Schizosaccharomyces pombe: one gene and its partners. Each later gene encodes a partner of the first gene's protein in a complex. Each region holds a gene or a part of one and is shown in the gene's direction. Other genes may lie near its edges.

Region 1 (2,786 bases):
GGAAGTACAGAAAATAATAAAATTTTGCATTGTATAATACTTTTGCTATAAGGCAAAGAAGGGTGACTTAGATGGTAACTAACTTTCAAGCAAAAAAGTTACCGTTTTACTCAATAAATCCTTTGGAAAGTTATAACATTGTTGTTTGACTATAGGGTAACAAATGACAATCGAAACTTAGATTCATGTTCAAAACCACCGTATTTATGATGTGCTAGGGGATGGTCTTTTGTATACAGTAATTGCTACAATCACCTGAGCATTAAATGAATTGGCAATAATATCAAGTTAGTATTAATTTTGAAATGGATTAATTATGTGGCCGTAAGTGTTTATGGTAATATGAAACAACACAAAGAAAGGAAATAAAAGGAGCGTGCAAATCCAATGATCATTTGAAACCATGATACAGTTGGTTTTAATCTTTTTCAGTATAACTTGCCCATAAAGCCACCAACTCGTTTCTCGTAACTGGCTCTGCCAAAATTAAACCGTCTCGTACAACCTGTTTAGCCTCTTCTATGCGATGCATTGCCTCCAAAGCCTTTGCTTTCCTATAATAACACTTTCCATAATTATTTCGAATTTTCAAAGCAGCATTTGCATCTGCTAAAGCTTCGGGGAATTGGGAAAGGGCAATCTCAGCAGCCGCCCGATTACACAACATAACACTTGCTTCTTCACGCGTAAGAATCGACGGTTCCCAAGTACAGCGATTCAAAGCGAGTTGTAATGCTAATCCATATAACTTTTTTGCCTCCTCATACTTTTTGCGTTTAAATGCCTCGTTTGCAGTTTGCTTCATCTTATTAACTTGGGTAGACAAGGCCATATTTGGCTTAGCAGGAGGATAGGGAGGTGGAATAAAAAAAGGATATTTAAACGTAGCTAATGACTTGGCGTATTCATTAACCTTTTTGCCCAACTCCAATTCCTTCCCACTCCATTTTGACACATCAACTTGAGGTGCAACCACCGATTCTTGTTTAGCAACCATCGAAGCAAAGTTTTAAAAGAAGAAGTAGTGAAGCTGCTCTTAATGTAAAGCACAAAGCTCGGATGGATTATTATGTACAAATAATTTAGAGAAGACAAGCAATGTTCAATGCAAGTAGTAAACTTGAAAGTGTTAGCAGAACGTGTCACAATACTTTAACACACATAAATACTAACTACGCAGTTTGTTATTTAATTTTAACGATGTGTAGAACTGCAATGAGCTTTATGATCTATTATATTGCAATATTGCAAAAAGCAGGTAATACAAGTAGCAACCGAGGACATATATAATATTTTATGTACGATCTATTGTTACCTATCATTAATATAGCTTTAACTAAACTGAGGAACGAGATTCAGCTGTACCTCTATTTATAATTGTTCTAAAGGGTGTTTTTAATAAAATTTATTTAGTTAGCGGATAGTTACCCATAATTATTAATAACCAGATCTCAACTGATATTCCAACATATCACATATAGTGATACGCAACGAAGTGTATATTAAAGTAGTGTAGTCTTGCACGGTATACATTTTTGCACATAATGCTATTCTTCATTATATGCAAGAGCACCCTGAACTGAGGTTACCAATGTAGTTGGTGTCTACTTCAATTTACGACTCACAGAAAACCCTTCAAAGGCTGAATTCTCTAAACCAACTGGAAGATAATGGATTCTTCTCCTAATGAGTTTTTGAATAAGGTCATCGGCAAAAAAGTTCTTATCCGGTTAAGTTCTGGTGTCGACTATAAAGGTATTTAACATGAATTGCGTCGGAGACAATGCAAGTTTGCAATTTGTTTCTATCGCTTTAACTTTTTTTCCGTTATTTAGGGTTTGTTAATACTAAACCTGTTTTTTAGGAATCCTCAGTTGTCTTGATGGTTATATGAACTTGGCCCTTGAACGCACAGAAGAATACGTTAATGGCAAGAAGACGAATGTTTATGGAGATGCATTTATTCGTGGAAACAATGGTATGGTATTTATATTAAAGTGCTTTGATTTCCTAACTACCGTCCAACAGTCTTATATGTTTCTGCTTTAGATGATTAGAGACGATTTCTAGCCCTTCAATACGATATACGATTATGGTACAAGATTGGTTAAAGTAATTTGCATAAAATACAAATTATCGTTAAAAAATACAAACACGTGTATACATAATAAGTTCTTATGCTAATGTTGAAAAGAAGAGCCAGAGTTCAATGAAGGATATATATTTGTAGATATTGATGTATCATTTAGAAGTAAATGTAATTTATAGCCCTTTAAAAAAAACCGTTTTCGTTAAACAAACACAGAGACGATGACTTTGGCATCATTTTTTTTTTTCAAGTTGTCATCAAATGAAACTATAATATACACTTCTTTTACCTTTGAATTTCTTCAATAGCCAAATCACCCATTTAGCCCATCTATAGAAACGAAGGGACTAGGGATATAGCTCCTGTATTTGTGAGTGAGAAGCCGCAATTCCACGTTTCCTTCTCCGTTTAAAGACAACTCTTAGACATAAGAAAAGGATAGCGAACGCAGCCAAAAAAGCAAAAAATAAGACAGATTTTGAATTTCGGTCTATCCAAATAAATACTTTAGCATCAGTGCCATGCCAGCTATCACCAGTAACATGTGAAAAAAATGAATTAGGTCCGTTTCCATAAAGTAAAGCAGGTAAGACGCGCACTGGTTCATGCGGCGTAAGTAAGTATTTACAAAATTGATAAGATAGGAATAAAGGTCCTGCACTGAGAAACACCGTGGGATATTTAGTGAAATAACGGT
Region 2 (3,137 bases), on another chromosome or scaffold:
TTATTTGCAACTGAACATTCATGGAATCCTCTGGTTGTCGTTTATTTTTCTAATCGAATTTTCGGTGAATGTTGGGACTGAGCCATTTTGCTAACTGTTTTATGATTAGGAAGCGATCGAGAGTTTAACTGGAGAATCGTCAAGAGTCGATAGAAATTCAAAGCTTGGATTAAGTTTCGGCGTCTTTCAATCTGTTTTTTCTTTGCTATTCAGTGGGTTGCACAAACTATGGATGATTTTGTCAAGGGTTCCTCTGATTTCAACATTTATCCCCATTTTTGGTACTACTAAGCGTGTCCTTTCTCCTGCAGACACTGCGAACAAGCTGGTTCAGAATTTAGAAGAGCAATACGGTACTGAGCATATTGATTTTTTTACTGATGGCGGCTACATGGAAGCGTTGACACGTATTAAGCGTAATTATGGAGTCGCATTGCTTTTCTTTACTAGCTCAAAGAATGATGACTCTGAGACGTTTTCCAGGAGTGTTCTTATGAACCAAGAGCTAAAGGAATTTTTAAATCGTCGAAACATTCTTTGCTGGACTGGTGATGTTTGTGAGGATGAGGCTTTCCGAGGTTCTCGTCAATTCCACTGCACTAAATTTCCCTCCGCAGTCCTTGTTATGTATTCACCTCAGCTATCTGAGCTTGTAGTTGCCGCCCAACTCCATGGATGTCTTGATAGTTCCAGCATCATTACCAATCTAACTAATGCTTTGGCTAAACATCTTCCTTCTCTTGAGCGTTTCCGTTCGGAGAGAGAAGCACGAGAAGCTGCTCGCGAGTTACGACGTCAACAAGACAATGCCTATCAAGCGTCCCTTGCCCGCGATCGCGAGCGTCAAGCTTTCGCGAGAGCAGAAGAAGAGCGTCTTGCAAAGGAGAAAGAAGAAAGAGAAATCGTTCAGAAAAAGAAAAAACAATATCGTGCTTGGCTTGCTTCTAATCTTCCACCGGAGCCATCATCTGAAGATGAACCTGCTCGTCTTTCGATCCGTTTTCCCGACGGATCTCGGGCTGTTCGAAGGTTTAAGAAGGATGATACTGTTGAATCCGTTTACAACTATGTGGATTATATGCTTTTTGAAAAAGAGGAGCCTGAAGAATTCGGTCGCGCTACTTCATCTTCTAATCCGGTCACTCCACCAAGTGACTATAAGCATGATTTTCATTTTCAACTATATTCTTCTTTGCCCAGAGCTTTGCTGAAACCATCAGTGGCTATTTCTACTAACAAAGCCATCTTTCCAAATGGCACTGTGGTGGTGGAGCTGGATGATTGAAATTAACAAAATTGTTTGTCTTTTTAAATCATAATGACAATTTACGACTATCGACGTTTCGAATCCGTTTTTAAATACATTTCTAAGATTTGATGTATGATGAATTTATTTTCTCTTTTCTATTTCTACTACTGAATTAATTGTTGTTTATGGCATGAATGTCTACTGGACGCATTGACTTTTTATTTTGAGCAAACTTTCAATGCACCCTTTAATCTGAGTACATAGTCGATTTCCACTAGATTTTCTGTTCTTTGCCAAAAACCTTTTCTATGCATGTCATCTTCATCTCTGTTTTCTACGATTTTCTTTGCAATGGAGGACAAAGGCTAGTAATTTAGGCTTTGTAGCATAAAAGTTTTGCCAGCTTTCGTCTGTGATGAGTGAGGTATGTATTATGAACATAAATTTGTTTAAAATATAAATCTTTCTTTATTGCAATTCGAAAAAGTCTAGTGGCTTTGTTTCTAAACAGCTTAAATTTTACCTTTAAACTTTCATTAATGTTAAATTTTTATATAATTAATATACAAATTAGTGCATTAGATTCACTTTATGTCAAGCATTATGACCCCAAGCATGGAATTTCTCAACGTTTCTAACAAAATTGGAAAAGTAAAGCGGTGAAATTATTTCCTTTCAGACTGAGCAAGTTTATTTTACATTCCTTTCTGTAGCGTGTTTTATATTCCATTTACTGCTATGTCTTAAGTCATTCAAATTGAACCATATAAGGATACGTTCGATCACGTTACAATCATCGTAAAAAGGAGAATCGTCAAGTTGAACCTGTACTTTATTCTTTTCTGGGCAATAGCTGATAATTTACCTGGTTATTCTAGATACAAAGAATGTCCAGTCTTCAAAAACGCCCTGGCCCAGGTAACTCTAGTCAACCGACGTAAGTCTAGCAGGAACGAGCAGCATCATGAGTTTTGCTAACTTTCTTAAATAGTGAAAGACCAAGAAAAGAATCTATCCTTGATCTTTCTAGATATCAAGATCAACGAATTCAAGCCACGTTTACGGGGGGCCGACAAATTACCGGTATTCTAAAAGGATTCGATCAGTTGATGAACCTTGTACTTGACGATGTAGAGGAACAGCTTCGCAATCCTGAGGATGGTAAACTTACTGGAGCTATTAGAAAGTTAGGTCTTGTAGTCGTTCGTGGAACAACTTTAGTTTTGATTGCTCCCATGGATGGTTCTGAGGAGATACCGAATCCATTCGTCCAAGCTGAATAAAAAGCCACAAGCCCTTCATTTGATGTTTGACTATTGTTAATAAAATACTACAAGTTAATTATTATACCGCATGTGCATGTTTTGCTTTGAAGGTTCAAAGACCCAATTCGGAAAAGTGTAAAAGCAATATGTGTTTAAAAGAATAAATTCGATTATTAAGATGATTTTCTCTACGCATATGTTTAAATTATTTAATCCATGTTTATTCCCAGTTAGCTTGTTATCACATTGCTATATAATTTATCTAGTCTAAATAGATATATGCCATTGAATAAAAGTATATTAATGCCAAAAAGTTTAGTTCTTTTCTTCCTTCAAAACTGAAAATGAGAATTTAGGTAATTCCTGGGTGCTTTCCATTGTAGAGAGATTCTCCCCATTCTCTTTTGGCAAAACCGTGAACGAAAACTTGGGAAAAGGTTCCTCTTCTAGGGAACCTTGTTTGTCAGTTTTTTCGAGCGTCATAGTGGCATCTTGCTTATGTTCATTCGTGCCCTCAGCAGAGGGTTTCTCGACTTCAACTAGCGAAGTCGATTCCGATACTGAGATAGGGCTTTTCTCAGCTTGCTCAAAACTCCGTTGATCAATAGCAACGTTCGTCATCT
Region 3 (3,209 bases), on another chromosome or scaffold:
ATCTGAATCAACATTAGACAGGGCATATTGAACAAGTTCGAGTAATTCCAAACGCTTGTCTGGTGGCTGCTGGACCCATATTTCTAACAAGTTAGGCAGGAACATTGCTAATTGTGATTTTGTCAGTCTCTCGCAAAATATACGAAGATGTTTTGCATTTGTTAAATTCCTTAACAGCGATTTGGTACCACAGACTGATATAATACGAAGCAAGATATCCTGAACTTTAGAACGTAAAGTTGTGTTCTCCTGTAAGTGCAAAAGACTTGGTACACAAGATTCACATATGCGAATTATATCATCGTTTTGAATGTAGACTAATACTTGAAGAACGTCCAATGCATTTTCAAATGGGGATAAATCGATGACTTTCGGTGCTTCGAGTATTTGGAGCTTTTTAAGAAGAAAAGAGGTAACAATATCACAATGTGTATTTGTTACAGCAATTATGAGTTGTGACGCTAATCGAGGTTGAGTGCTGAAAAGGCTCCAAACCTGAGGAAGAATACACGAAAAATATTTCTGTGGTGAGATATCCTTTGGAACAGATGAAATCAGATGAGCGGCCTGTCGTGCGCGTTCGATTGAATTTGGCTGTGCTTGCATATAAACTTTGAGAAATCCTTGCACGCCAGTTTCTCTACAAAGACAGGTAGTTAAATAATGTTTCAATTTATCTTGCAACCAGTTATCTACATTCGGTTGTAATAGCGATAAACAAGAAGAAATCATTTTAGATGGATCAACCATTTGTGGAGACATTATGCTCGTTACTTTTTCTTTCCATGAAGGGTCTAAAAATAAAGGCCTGGGTTCTTCAATGAGAGAACCTTGTTCATGGCAGTTCAACAAATATAAATGAAGCAACAATAAGTCGGCATAGTGAAGGTTAAGTGGACCTTGTAATAAACTTGGAGTTAACAATAAAGGAAGTAAAATATTGTAAATTTGGACCAGATTTTTTTTGGGGGTATAAATAGGTAATGCCTTAATTTTCGCTTGCGATAGCATTTCTTTGGGGAGTTGAGTATAAACACCAAGCAAAAATGTAAGATGAACAAAAAGCTGCAAACATCGTAGAGAGGTAACACTTAAGGGTTGGTCTGTATCCAACTTTGAGATTTCCTCTAGAAGATTGAGGAAGTAATTCAATAAATCACCACTTATATTATCCTTCAATTTTTCAATTACAGGACGAGAATCATTCTTTTGATTTAAAAGCTTCGCAAAATCTAATAACTTCTGATTTGCATCCATGCGGAATATTGCTTGTAAAGTTCACTTGCTAAGTAGTGAACGTTATAAGTAAGTGAAGGCAAAAAACCAACTCTTATACTTTCCGTACTAAGAAATAGCAATAGCAAATATTTAGAATATGAGAACCAGGTACGGAAACCTTAATTATTTAACGAACTTTGTGGCTAAAATATGTGGATAACTAATTCCTGATCGTAGCAATAAATACTTGGGGTAAGTTATAACTAGACAGCTTTAGCTTGGATTCATTCAAAGAAATGGATCGCTATTCGACAACTGTGTAATTTTGACAAACGACAAGACCAAAAAATAAGACCGAATAAGATGTCCACAGTTTTAATGAAACGATAACCTCTTATTTATAAAATCTTCAAGATTCCAATAAATGATATTCCCTTAACACTATGTGTTCAGGTAAAATGATAGCATGGTTCTTGTATAGTAGCAATTTATGTGAACTTGCAATCCACCTCCACCATGTCGATGACAATTTTACCTTTAGGTATGTAGATTTATTAGTACATTCTAAATTAGTTTCATAATAAGAAAAGGGAAAAATTATTGATTTATGCCCTGGGTAAATCTGTTCATGCTAACAAGCAGAATTAATTGATAAATGCATTGGATCAAACTTATGGGTGATCATGAAAAGTGAACGCGAATTTGCGGGGACACTTGTTGGATTCGATGATTATGTGAATATTGTTCTAAAAGATGTTACAGAATAGTATGAAATATAATAACTTTAATTATCTTTGCTAATTTCTATGAAGTGATACTGTTACCGGCGTTACCGAAAAACACTCTGAAATGCTTTTGAACGGAAATGGGATGTGCATGGTATGTCAATGAAAATAATAAAGGAATTTTTGTACACTAACTATCTAGTTGATTCCTGGTGGAAAACCCGAATAAGTTGGTACTTGGCTATTTAACAGTCTTTTGAAGATGAAGGAAGAGTGATTTTTGTTATTATCAAACAAATGGAGATATATTGCACGCCAAATCTAGCTCATACTGTGTGCACTCCATATATGGTAAAATATCTAGACCCAAGTCTCACTTTTTACATTAATTGAACAACAAGCGTTGGTAAAGCCATGTCTTCGGATACGGTTAAATTTGATCGAGTTATTTAAAGAATTTGATTGCAAAAATAAGGTATTTTATAGGACTGGTTGCATGTTTCTGAAATGAGTGATTATTCAAAAATAAAGGCTTAATACTTCCATCCTCCATAATTTTTCCTATTAGTGATTGTATCTCAAATTATACTACCAAAATGAATTGTTATTTCAGATGATGTAAACTGTGTTAAAGTTAATTGTTTGAATGTAATCTGACTGTAGAAATTGGCATAAACGGGATATGCATAGCCTACGATGATAGCAATTTTTCTTCTAATTTGAAAGACAACATACTAAACATTGATTTGAGTAGCCTTTACAGGATCTTACTATTCAAGTTATCTCTTCCAGCCCATCTGGTTGAATCATACTGACTTTTTTTTGTTCATGTTGGCCAAAATGGGGATTTATTATGATTATACACTGGAAAAAGTATGAATATTTGTTGTTTATCATTAATATAAACTAAAGTGACTAACCTTGTTATTGTAAACTCAAAATTTTGAGAATTAGTATCTTCAGCAGTTTTATGAAGGAAACGAAAAAGTAAAATTAAAATGAAAACGAAGTTTAATACTTTGGATTTATATATCTCATCATTTATACATTTGGATTATTAAGAAATTTTTGAATCCTCTCTTCCCTTATCCCTAAATAGTTAGAGAAAAACGACAAAACTCAGCTAAAACCATTAAACTTTTTCGTTTTAAATTCCAATCTCGTTGCTTTTAGGACTTGACTTTTTACATAGATGAAAATCACTATCGTAATGCTTTTGCTTTTTTTCTTTGATTTCTTTTTTTTGGCAGATTACAGCCGTCTTTC

Evidence for each region.
Region 2: the proteins of lsm6 (region 1) and lsm7 are in contact, whole or in part, in a crystal structure (PDB 3SWN), measured with the Schizosaccharomyces pombe proteins. Residues at the interface, in NP_594380.1 of Schizosaccharomyces pombe: Leu21 (codon at 1,731), Tyr27 (codon at 1,749), Cys33 (codon at 1,876), Asp35 (codon at 1,882), Tyr37 (codon at 1,888), Asn39 (codon at 1,894), Ala41 (codon at 1,900), Glu47 (codon at 1,918), Tyr57 (codon at 1,948), Asp59 (codon at 1,954), Ala60 (codon at 1,957), Phe61 (codon at 1,960), Ile62 (codon at 1,963), Arg63 (codon at 1,966), Asn66 (codon at 1,975); in NP_588340.1 of Schizosaccharomyces pombe: Ser24 (codon at 2,260), Asp27 (codon at 2,269), Leu28 (codon at 2,272), Tyr31 (codon at 2,281), Gln37 (codon at 2,299), Thr39 (codon at 2,305), Thr41 (codon at 2,311), Gln45 (codon at 2,323), Gln55 (codon at 2,353), Leu56 (codon at 2,356), Met57 (codon at 2,359), Gly90 (codon at 2,458), Thr91 (codon at 2,461), Thr92 (codon at 2,464), Leu93 (codon at 2,467), Val94 (codon at 2,470), Leu95 (codon at 2,473), Ile96 (codon at 2,476), Ala97 (codon at 2,479), Pro98 (codon at 2,482).
Region 3: the proteins of lsm6 (region 1) and lsm5 are in contact, whole or in part, in a crystal structure (PDB 3SWN), measured with the Schizosaccharomyces pombe proteins. Residues at the interface, in NP_594380.1 of Schizosaccharomyces pombe: Ser3 (codon at 1,677), Ser4 (codon at 1,680), Pro5 (codon at 1,683), Phe8 (codon at 1,692), Leu9 (codon at 1,695), Lys11 (codon at 1,701), Leu18 (codon at 1,722), Arg20 (codon at 1,728), Met38 (codon at 1,891), Gly64 (codon at 1,969), Asn65 (codon at 1,972), Asn66 (codon at 1,975), Val67 (codon at 1,978), Leu68 (codon at 2,031), Tyr69 (codon at 2,034), Val70 (codon at 2,037), Ser71 (codon at 2,040), Ala72 (codon at 2,043); in NP_596373.1 of Schizosaccharomyces pombe: Met23 (codon at 1,902), Arg27 (codon at 1,914), Phe29 (codon at 1,920), Val34 (codon at 1,935), Gly35 (codon at 1,938), Phe36 (codon at 1,941), Asp37 (codon at 1,944), Asn41 (codon at 1,956), Val43 (codon at 1,962), Glu49 (codon at 1,980), Glu58 (codon at 2,053), His60 (codon at 2,059), Glu62 (codon at 2,065), Met63 (codon at 2,068), Leu64 (codon at 2,071), Leu65 (codon at 2,074), Asn66 (codon at 2,077), Asn68 (codon at 2,083).

What each region holds. Positions count from the first base shown.
Region 1 is NC_003424.3:3,922,964-3,925,749, reverse strand, and holds lsm6 (U6 snRNP-associated protein Lsm6), read left to right. Parts: upstream 1-1,623; 5' UTR 1,624-1,670; coding exon 1,671-1,755; intron 1,756-1,864; coding exon 1,865-1,978; intron 1,979-2,028; coding exon 2,029-2,057; 3' UTR 2,058-2,164; downstream 2,165-2,786. Other genes in the region: sec67 (translocation subcomplex subunit Sec72), read right to left, coding at 419-997; inositol phosphorylceramide mannosyltransferase activity Imt1, read right to left, coding at 2,437-2,786. UniProt on the Schizosaccharomyces pombe protein: Component of LSm protein complexes, which are involved in RNA processing and may function in a chaperone-like manner. Component of the cytoplasmic LSM1-LSM7 complex which is involved in mRNA degradation by activating the decapping step.
Region 2 is NC_003421.2:1,816,288-1,819,424, forward strand, and holds lsm7 (U6 snRNP-associated protein Lsm7), read left to right. Parts: upstream 1-2,078; 5' UTR 2,079-2,136; coding exon 2,137-2,186; exon of another isoform or gene 2,187-2,240; coding exon 2,241-2,532; 3' UTR 2,533-2,637; downstream 2,638-3,137. Other genes in the region: dsc5 (UBA/UAS domain-containing protein), read left to right, coding at 110-1,285; nucleoporin Nup60, read right to left, coding at 2,830-3,137. UniProt on the Schizosaccharomyces pombe protein: Component of LSm protein complexes, which are involved in RNA processing and may function in a chaperone-like manner. Component of the cytoplasmic LSM1-LSM7 complex which is involved in mRNA degradation by activating the decapping step.
Region 3 is NC_003423.3:3,299,570-3,302,778, forward strand, and holds lsm5 (U6 snRNP-associated protein Lsm5), read left to right. Parts: upstream 1-1,725; 5' UTR 1,726-1,734; coding exon 1,735-1,759; intron 1,760-1,860; coding exon 1,861-1,984; intron 1,985-2,030; coding exon 2,031-2,097; intron 2,098-2,145; coding exon 2,146-2,172; 3' UTR 2,173-2,566; downstream 2,567-3,209. Other genes in the region: RNA polymerase II nuclear import protein Rtp1, read right to left, coding at 1-1,257. UniProt on the Schizosaccharomyces pombe protein: Component of LSm protein complexes, which are involved in RNA processing and may function in a chaperone-like manner. Component of the cytoplasmic LSM1-LSM7 complex which is involved in mRNA degradation by activating the decapping step.